3 linked regions of the Kluyveromyces lactis genome follow. The protein of the gene in region 2 interacts with the protein of the main gene of each other region in a pairwise test. Links are inferred from orthologs where the notes say so. Each region holds a gene or a part of one and is shown on either strand. Other genes may lie near its edges. The genes, in order: RPA34, TMA23 and PRP43.

Region 1 (2,693 bases), on a different chromosome or scaffold from region 2:
AATTACAGCGGTAGTAAGTCAAGAAAGAAGAAGAAAGCGAATGAGATAGACGCGAAAAAAGTTATTGAAGAATTTGAGGCAAAGGGGATCAGGAACGTTGAATTAGAGCTCTACAATTCAAGGAAAAGGACGTCTTCTGAAGAAATAGAGCCTGTTTCGGAAGATTCCCCGGCCTTGGATATATTGAAAGACTTGAATGAATTGAAAAATCAGTTCAAAAAGATCAAACAAAGCAATGCCCCCATCTCCAACTGGCAAGAAGTCACCGAGTGGACGCCTAGACCATTTGGCGTTTTGTAATTAGTATAATTAAGCCTTTTAGATACATAAGACAAAGCAAGAAAGATTGACAGTTCTACAGGTTCTGCGATGATAACAGGATTGAAAATGGAAATGGATAATAACATATAAAAAGATCAGACATCCTAGGAAGGTCTCAATAAAGAGCGGTCACTGAAGAGTACTAACGATGGGTTCGTAGGCGTACTCCTACCGTGGAAACTGCGAATGTAAAGGAACCAATTTTCATCATATAAAAAAATGTTAAAATCCATAACGCACAATCATGTTCTTAGCTAAAAAGAAGAAGTGAAACGTTTTGAAGAAATAAATGCAACAGAAGATACGACGATGGATCTTGTTTCACTGTTACTTTGACCTTAAGAAAACTAAAAAGAGAAAACTCAGATGATCTAAATTGTACATGTCAAAGCATGTACTGGCTTAAAAAGTCGTTGCCCCGTAAGACAACAACATGGTAGACTCCCATATCGTCATGGTCGATATCGGACTGGGAAAGAAGTGTAGACCGTTTTCATCATCGTTAAATGTTTTGAAGTTCTTTCGTAAGGTATGAAGTAATAATGAATCCCACGTATATGCAAACTTTTACGTTTATTTCTTCATGGAAAAGGTCTCTTTTCCAAGCGTAACATAGACGAATCAGTGTTTCACGGCTGTGAAACACTGCTCCATCAAGGATACTATAAAGCTCACTTGCCAACAGCAAGTGAGGCTAGAGAACAACCTACAGAACTTTTCAATACCTAACCTGGATAAATGGTTTGATGAGTTTAACATGTCTAGTTTGTTTCTCATTACCAGCCTTTTTATATTCTTCGTGTCGAAGAAGCATGGAAAAAATTTTTGGAATAATTGCGTCGTTCGACATGATAATACAGTAAACCAAGTACTTAGGGCATCGATGTCATACCATTCAACGGGAATCATAGTATTAGTGATCCAATAAATGTTGCTCGAAGGCTGTTCAAGTCGGACATACCATTTCTCGATGGTTTGTGATGAACTGGAACAGATTTCATGAATACGATAGTTTGTTCCACGTGTTAACCACGTGCATTTTCCCGGGTAACGTCTAAAAAGAAAGAAAAGTCTTTCCCAAGATGAAAAAATTCGGTTTAAGCTCATCTCATCTCATTGCAGATTCAAATAGACACACAGAGGCAGATAAGTGAGGTTCTGTGTGGTCCTAGGGTTCCAATTACAGTTTAACTAGTTCAGGTGAGTTTTTGTTACACCCTTCCCTGTAATATTATTCCACTCGCAAAACGTTATAAGAAATATCTCAAACAATGGCCAAGGTCGACAAAACTCTTTCAAAGGAATACATCAGTGATAGCGACAGCGATAATGATGGATCATCAGAAACTGTAACGGACGTTTTCGTTCCACCTGAAAACTATAAGAAATGTACACATTTGAAATCATTCGTGAAGCCTAAGAACTTGAAGCAAAAAGAACTTTGGCTTATCAAACTTCCTAAATCTTTAGATGTCTCTAAGCTTTCGAAATTACCTATTGATTTCACAGCGGAGTCGGAAACTGGCATCGAACAAAAAGGTAAACATTTCTCTGTGAAGGAGGAAATCCAACAAGAAAATTCCACTTCTGGTGCATCTTCTTCTTCTGAATTGACATTATTGACTCCTGTAGATAAGACAAAGTTGACCGTCGATTCATCTGCATCAAGATCATTTGATAAGATCTTTACCATAAGCGAAACTGCAAAGATTCCAAGCATTGATTATTCTAAGGTAAGAGTGGATAGAAAGGATGTGTTGAAGGTTAAGGGTCTCAAGACTAGACATTTCGCAACTGGGTATTACGAGGATAAAGATTTGAAGAAAGTTAGCAAAAAAAAGAGAAAGCACGACTAGAGCACTCGTTCTGGTCTTTCTGTATATTATTTATATATAACGCACTGGTCATATTTTAATTTGGGTTATATGTAGAATACGTTCATTATAAAAAGTAGGTATCTTCATACCCTATCGGAATAATCTCTCAATATACCAGCCATATGTGTATTGGTAACTTTACCCTTTCTTGATCTACGTTTCTTGACCTCTTTCCTTGTGGTTTGCTCATTCTTGATCGTAGCAGGATCCACACTAGCAGGCTTGAGACCCAAATCTTGTAGTTTTCTTGGTAATTCACTACGCTGAGGTAGCTTACAAGCTTCCCACATCGTAACGAACTCTTCATCGATTTGCCTTGATGGACCAGCATGGTTATACCAGACAAACCTTGGAGAATTATCCTTCTTTGTCCGAAGAACAAGGATTCTGTTCTTTGCTTCTAACTCGTCGATTGTATCAAAACATTGTGGCCAACCATCTTTTAACTCTTTACATGATATACCCTTGAACGTCGCCTGTGATCTTAATAGTTGT
Region 2 (2,613 bases):
CTTAAAATCATCAACTCACAAAGGTCAACATCTGAGAGAGCAATCGAAAATCGTATTATGGCCTCTTTTAACACCGATTTCACAGTATTGGGAAATTTGTCTGATTCACTGATTGATCCAAACCAGGATAAAATGAAATTGCTGATGATGTTATTGAGTAAGATATCAATTTCTTTTGATAATGCTTCGTTATTGGGGAACAAGGCTTCTTGACCGGCAAAATTATCATCATCTGAAGTTTTGGTAATAGGTTTATCACCTGTGAACCTTAGCGTTGGTTTTGTTGGGAGCACCCGAGGTTGTTCATTTAATGCAAGATATATCCAAATGATTGACAAAAGAGACGCAACCGATAGGACAAACAAACACTCCCCCCACCCCAAGAAGAAGGGAACCACGAACAAAACATGCCACTTGAAACTGGGCATTTAGAAATTCAATATATGGACTGCTGCCAATGGAATGCTGTTAAGCCGCGTCTTGGGCAGTATCTTTTCGACAGTGGAATAATTTAGCTTGTTTACACTATTTGTTGAAAACCTTGAAATGAACTAAATGCGTTTAAATCGTCTATCTAACGAGAATTTTTATATACAACATGTACGTACAATGGAGGGATGATGCTGCAAGAAGAAAATAAAGAGAACATCAATGTGAACTTTTACGCTTGTGTGTACCCTTCTTATCCTTCTTATCCTTCTTGTCTTTCCTATGCTTATCCTTCTTGTCTTTCTTATGCTTACTCTTTGGCTTGTCAACCTTATGCGACTTCTTCTTCTTCTTCTTCTTCTTCTCGTCTTTGCTCTTTTTATCTTTCTTCGATGTCACTTCAGAAACAGCCAGTTTAACTATAGTAGATCCATTGTTGGACGGCAGATCTGTTTTAATGGTACCTTTCAACACTTCACCTCTAACAAATGATCGATAAAGTGGTGAATCGCTCTTTGATATGGAAGAAGCGACGACTTCGTTTTGTTTGAACGAGATCCCATCGGACCCGCTTTTGATGTCCAAGTTTCGAAGTTGTCCGTCGAACAAACGTTCCCACCAGGCTTCACTGTCATCATGTCCTGGTGCACATCCAAGCCCTTTCTTATCTTTCTTGTGTTTCACAAGAATCGGTTTTTTCAGTCCTCCGTTCCGTAAGGCCTCACCTTCTTGCCAGCCATACGATTTAAGGTACCCTTTACTGTCCATGGGTAATATATGGTGGAACTGAGGTATAATTATCGGGGATTCACAATGGTAGATCAGCAAACAGATCGGTAATCTTACCAATGTCAATGTCACTTTAATTGCTGTATATCATCTTCTCATCTCATCTCATCGCGAGTTGAAGAATTTCTTTTCAAAGAGAAACATTTCGATTGTGGTCACGTGAACACAGTCTTCATCATTACCCGGAGCAATAGCATCACGTGCCACGGTTTTTCTTCTTTTCCTGTGTCATTTAAGGTTGTCACCACACTGCCAAGACTTACTCTATGGAGGATCTAAAATTACTTAACACATGGGGCTACACCGTGGCTGGCTCCATGAGTTGAGGCCATGAAACGTGTACGTTTCATGCTCCGCCTGAGACAAAACCACAAAACCCCAAGAAACCTCTAATTAATTGGTATTCAAAACACACAACTCCACAGATAGACACGGCGTGTGTGTATTCTGAGTGGGCTTTAAACTCTAAACTCTAAACTCTAAACCATGTACATCAAGATCTCCGGCACGTGACCTGTGTTTAAATAATCACTCAACGAGCATATGGCACCTTGAGTGATTATAAATCCCCAATTTTAGCAAACAGGGCTGGCTGGATCGATGCCCGGTCCGAACAAAAACGTGTAGAAAACCGTTTTAAATCAGTAAACAACGAGAACGGGCGAAGACTTGCTAAAAATACACTGACAAACGTGCGTATGTGATGCTAACACCGTTCCTTTCGCTTCCTTTCGTTTCGCTGTTGCGATGAGCAAAATGGTGAAAAATTTTTTTTTTCACCTTCCCACGGTGTGGACAATGGCGTGGCTCATTCCGACCTACTGAGAAAGAGACCTCAGAGAAAGACTCCAGAGGACTCGAGTGTCATCGACAGCGATCCTGGGCGATTCGGAATGGGGCCTAGGGCTAGACACTAGGAAACCTGCGTCTTTACGATCTTGTGTCATGTGTCATGGTGCCACGATTTGTGTGTAATGACGGAGAAAAATTCCAACTCTGGCGGTGTATGTGTGCTCGTGTGCCCTGAGAACATTTTAGACGTTTTGAACATTCTCGCATGTGTGTGTGGTCATTATTATTTCATTACCTAATTGCTAAAACTCAGCTCACCTTTAGTTGAGATTAAGGCACGATGTCCATAATCTTTTTATATAATACATATATATAAGCAATATATATATTGGGTATATGGTGAAAATAGTAGCTGAGGGGATTTCAAGTGTAATCACGAGATAGATAGGGAAAGAGAAAACCTTTTCACAAGCCAGTGAAGCCGAGGATACCTGTCTGCGCAATACCTACTAGTTTACGATGTCAGCATTCAACGATTATTGTACCGTTTGTGGCCAATTGATTGAACGTGGTAATTGCGATGCTCAATTGGATAATGACAGG
Region 3 (4,263 bases), on a different chromosome or scaffold from region 2:
CACATTAGACCAGCAACAGAACAATCAACAAAATATGTCATGGTTAACTCCTCCACAACTTCCACCTCAGTTGGAGAATGTTATTCTCAATAATTACAACAAAAATGCTGAACCAGGTAGTGAAAATAATTCAGGTGCGTTGCCAATTCCTAACCACGTCGTTCTTAATCATTTAGCAACGTCTTCTATTAAACATAATACTTTATGTGTTGCTAGCATCGTTAGATACAAAAGAAAATATGCAACACAGATACTATATGCGCCATTGCAATGAAACCACTCCTAGAGATTTGATTTTATATTTTTTACACTGAAATATCATAAGCGAAGTTCTTATGGGTTGAATATAAAACGTACACCATACCGAATTTCAATAAAATGCAGCAAAAAAAACGTAGACTTTGAGTCGCGTGCTAATAATACCGCACAATACTTCTACAATAAGACTTATCATGCTGATTCTAAGGTTAATCTTATTATATAAGTTACACATCTATATGCTTGGTTATTTCTTAGACTTTTTAGATTTCGCACTTTTTTTTTTTTCTTGTTGTAGCTCCACCATTTTATCGAGCTTTTGCTTTACCCTTTCTAACGATAGTTTAATGTCACCTTTTTGGAAGTGATCGAGGTCATAATAAGCTGGTGCTAATTCTATTAACCATTCAGGTCTAACTGATGTTACAGTTCTAATGTAGTTTTTGGAGGTTAGAACGAATTCATTGTATACAACCCATTCGGCATCATGGCCCAAAACAGTTGAAGGATGTATCAAAACATCTTGGTTATCTTTGACTGTGATATAACCTTTTCCGCCAGATCGTTTTTTTGCGACCTGCATAAAGAAGCCTGCAGCTAACGCTTTTCTAATGTTATCGAAATATCTAGGGGAGTCATAATCTGTAGTGTTCAACTCGAGATTGTAACGAACCATCAACCTTTCCAATTGGTTGCGGATGTTGTCAGCAGCAGATAGAGATCTATAATTTAAAAAGTTGTCGCGGCACCACTTGTTGATCCCGTACTCATAAGCTTCGTCTGACTTGAATGCATGGTAGACATTCAATAATGTTAGGTGGTCGCCATCAGGATGTGCAAATATGTTCTTTGCGTCATCTGATCTTTTCTTATCTTTCGAAGGACGAATGAAAACACTAGGTACGGATAACATGGCGACAATCGTTAGCATCTCTTCGGAACAAGAAAATTCGGGGGATCCAATCAACATTACCGCAAGCATTGGATCAAGAGGGAATTGAGAAGCCAATCTACCCAAAGGTGTTAAATTACCATCGTCATCTAAACATGCCAAAAAGTTTAATTCTTCTAAGGCTCTCATCATAGTTTCTGGGGCAGGAGGGTCCATGAAATCGAAATGCACCAAATCGTCAATGCCTAGTTTCTTTAGTTCTAAGACTGTCGAAGAAAGATTACTACGGAGAATTTCAGGATATGATTGCTCGATAAGTTCCTTTTTGAAAGCTTCTTCAGTATATAGTCTGAAACACTTACCAGGTCTGGTACGACCAGCTCTACCAGCTCTTTGTTGAGCTGATGCCTTTGAAATTGGAGAGACCAAAAGGGATTCAACTCTAATTCTTGGGTTGTAAACTTTTTGCTTAGAGAAACCAGGATCAACAACATACACAATACCGTCAATAGTCAAAGAGGTTTCTGCAATATTAGTAGATACAATGACTTTTCTACCAGGTCTTCCATTATGGGATTCAGGAGCAGGTTCAAAAATGCGCTGTTGTTGATGTGGAGGCAAAGAACCGTATAATGGATATACAGAGATAGGACCACAACCTTGCTCTCTAATTAACTGATCCCCTTCTAATGATATTTTCCTTACAGCATCTTCAATCTCATCTTCACCGGTTAAGAATAACAAAATGTCACCCTTCTCCTCCGTAGCATGGATCTGTAAAACAGTTCTTATAGCACTATCCAAATAATCTCTTTGGAATTCTGGTGTATAGTAGATCTCCACTGGATGTGTCCTACCAGGGACAGCTAAAAGTGGCGCCTTATTAAAGTATCTTTGGAATTTCTCAGCATCTAAAGTAGCAGACATGATAATAATCTTCAAATCAGGTCTACGATCAATAACCTGTTTCAAAAGACCCATCAAGATATCTGTTGCCAAAGTACGTTCGTGTGCTTCATCTAAAATGATACAAGAGTAACGTTTCAAGTCATGGTCTTCCATGGCTTCTCTTAACAACATACCATCAGTCATATATTTCAAGATAGTTTTATTAGAGGTCTTATTTTCGAATCTAATGGAATAACCAACTTCTTCGCCTAGTTTGACGTCCATTTCTTCAGCAACTCTCTGTGCCACAGACATGGCAGCAACCCTACGAGGCTGCGTACAAGCAACTTGAGTATTTTGTAAATGTGGCATTTCATCGAACAGCACAAATTGAGGAATTTGAGTGGTCTTACCGGAACCCGTTTCACCAACAAAAACCATGATCTGGTTTTCTTGATAGATCTTCAAGAATTCATCTCTTTGAGCGTGCACTGGCAAGTCTCTTCTTACCTTTAGAATACCGAAATATTTCTCTGATAGTGAGCCACCAGTGAATGGATTAACTGATCCATTTTCCAATCTTTCGGCATCGGCCGCAGTAGTGTGATGGCGTTGCATCCCGCTGAACTCACCAGAATCATGATGAATTAAAGGCTCTGCTGCTGGTGGAGGGTGATCTTTGGTTAATTTTTCTGCGATTTCAGCTGCATGCTCCGGAATAGAAGTCTCAACAGCAGACACATGCTCGTTTGAAAACCTTCTTTTGCCCATCGTCAATTACTCAACGTTTGATGTTTTGCAACTGGTAATGCGAATAATCTCTAACGGAGTAAACCAAACTCAGCAGTAGTATCTAATATTCAGGGGATTTTATAACCACTTAACCTACTATCTCTAGTATTGAACTACACTAGATGAGATGAGATGAGATGAGCTTAATGTTACAATTTGCATTAAAATTTTTAAAAAAGAAAAAACTACACGTCCATATGTCAAAATCGCAATTCCATCATTACCCGGATAACAAAGGTTAGAATGGCAAGAGCAAGCAAGCAAACAAGCATCTATTTGAAATTCAAAAGATGGATTATTCTGCAAGATATCTGTACGATTCGACTCTCTCATGAAATAAGGAAAGGTAATAAAGTAAAGACAGAGTCTTAATCCATTCTTATTACGCTGTATATTCATGAATTTGACCATTGACTCGTAGTATCATTGGATAGATCAAATACTTTCACCCTTTATTTTTGATCTTGTGATATCTGATAGTTCTTCGGCTGAATTAATTGATATCGAGAAGTATCGCTGTATTCAATGTCGAGAAAAGGGCTATATCAAGCTATCTGTTTATCAGAGTCCTTCTGCAACGTGGTAAAAAATTCTGCCTCGATTGGTAGACAGTCTCTTGATATTTGGCTAAAAACTTCCACTTTGACAAGACCGGTACTGTCTAAATTTCAATGGTTTTACGACAAGGACTGGGAACATGCCCGTAAACTTTCTGAATCCGTCAGAAAATCTACGAAAGGGCACTCTTCTAAAAAAGCACACCTTAGCAAGTGCTCAGTCAAGAACAAAAAAAATGTGAGACATTTTTCATCTTATCACAGGTGTTCTAATAAAGCAGCTGACGCTATTCCAGAGGATAAATTGGTGAACAAACAAAAGGCTAATAAACTGGAAAGTTCAGAAGTCCCTTCATCACGTATCTCTCGGCTTTTTCATTACGGCCACCTAGCTGCTAGTGTGGGTATTTCTGCTGCATCTCAAAGTATCACTCAGCTGAGTCGTGGCCAATCATCAAGTTTTAAAGATTTACTGTTATCAGATTCTAATGTTGAAAGGATTGCAAATAAATTCTCTCAAATGAGAGGAGCAGCATTAAAGTTGGGCCAACTAATGTCATTCCAGGATGAGAAGGTTTTACCTCCGCAATTATACACGATACTTTCAAGAGTTCAGAACAGTGCTAATTATATGCCTCCAAGACAGTTGGACAGGCTACTGGCTAGAGAATTGAGTTCTGATTGGGAAAAGAAATTCAAGAGTTTCGACAGGACTCCTATCGCTGCAGCAAGCATTGGTCAAGTTCATAATGCTGTTTTGCACAACGGCGAGGAATGTGTCGTGAAGATACAATATCCAGGAGTCAAAGACTCTATTGACAGCGACCTAAACAATCTTCTTATGTTATTAACTGCTTCCAGTTTATTACCAAAGGG

Evidence for each region.
Region 1: the proteins of TMA23 (region 2) and RPA34 interact in a protein complementation assay, tested with the Saccharomyces cerevisiae proteins (2 studies listed by BioGRID). The link is inferred for Kluyveromyces lactis from reciprocal best matches to the Saccharomyces cerevisiae genes TMA23 and RPA34.
Region 3: the proteins of TMA23 (region 2) and PRP43 interact in a two-hybrid assay, tested with the Saccharomyces cerevisiae proteins (2 studies listed by BioGRID, with this or other methods). The link is inferred for Kluyveromyces lactis from reciprocal best matches to the Saccharomyces cerevisiae genes TMA23 and PRP43.

The regions. Positions count from the first base shown.
Region 1 is NC_006037.1:552,887-555,579, reverse strand, and holds RPA34 (DNA-directed RNA polymerase I subunit RPA34), read left to right. Parts: upstream 1-1,592; coding exon 1,593-2,177; downstream 2,178-2,693. Other genes in the region: rRNA-processing protein LAS1, read left to right, coding at 1-300; transcription factor TFIIE subunit TFA2, read right to left, coding at 2,282-2,693. UniProt on the Saccharomyces cerevisiae protein: DNA-dependent RNA polymerases catalyze the transcription of DNA into RNA using the four ribonucleoside triphosphates as substrates. Component of RNA polymerase I (Pol I) which synthesizes ribosomal RNA precursors.
Region 2 is NC_006040.1:170,588-173,200, forward strand, and holds TMA23 (Tma23p), read right to left. Parts: upstream 1,198-2,613; coding exon 649-1,197; downstream 1-648. Other genes in the region: MDM1 (Mdm1p), read right to left, coding at 1-428; ECL1 (Ecl1p), read left to right, coding at 2,530-2,613. UniProt on the Saccharomyces cerevisiae protein: Trans-acting factors of the ribosome biogenesis process.
Region 3 is NC_006038.1:40,830-45,092, reverse strand, and holds PRP43 (DEAH-box ATP-dependent RNA helicase PRP43), read right to left. Parts: upstream 2,810-4,263; coding exon 506-2,809; downstream 1-505. Other genes in the region: KLLA0_B00583g (protein kinase subunit beta), read left to right, coding at 1-274; protein kinase COQ8, read left to right, coding at 3,356-4,263. UniProt on the Saccharomyces cerevisiae protein: Pre-mRNA processing factor involved in disassembly of spliceosomes after the release of mature mRNA.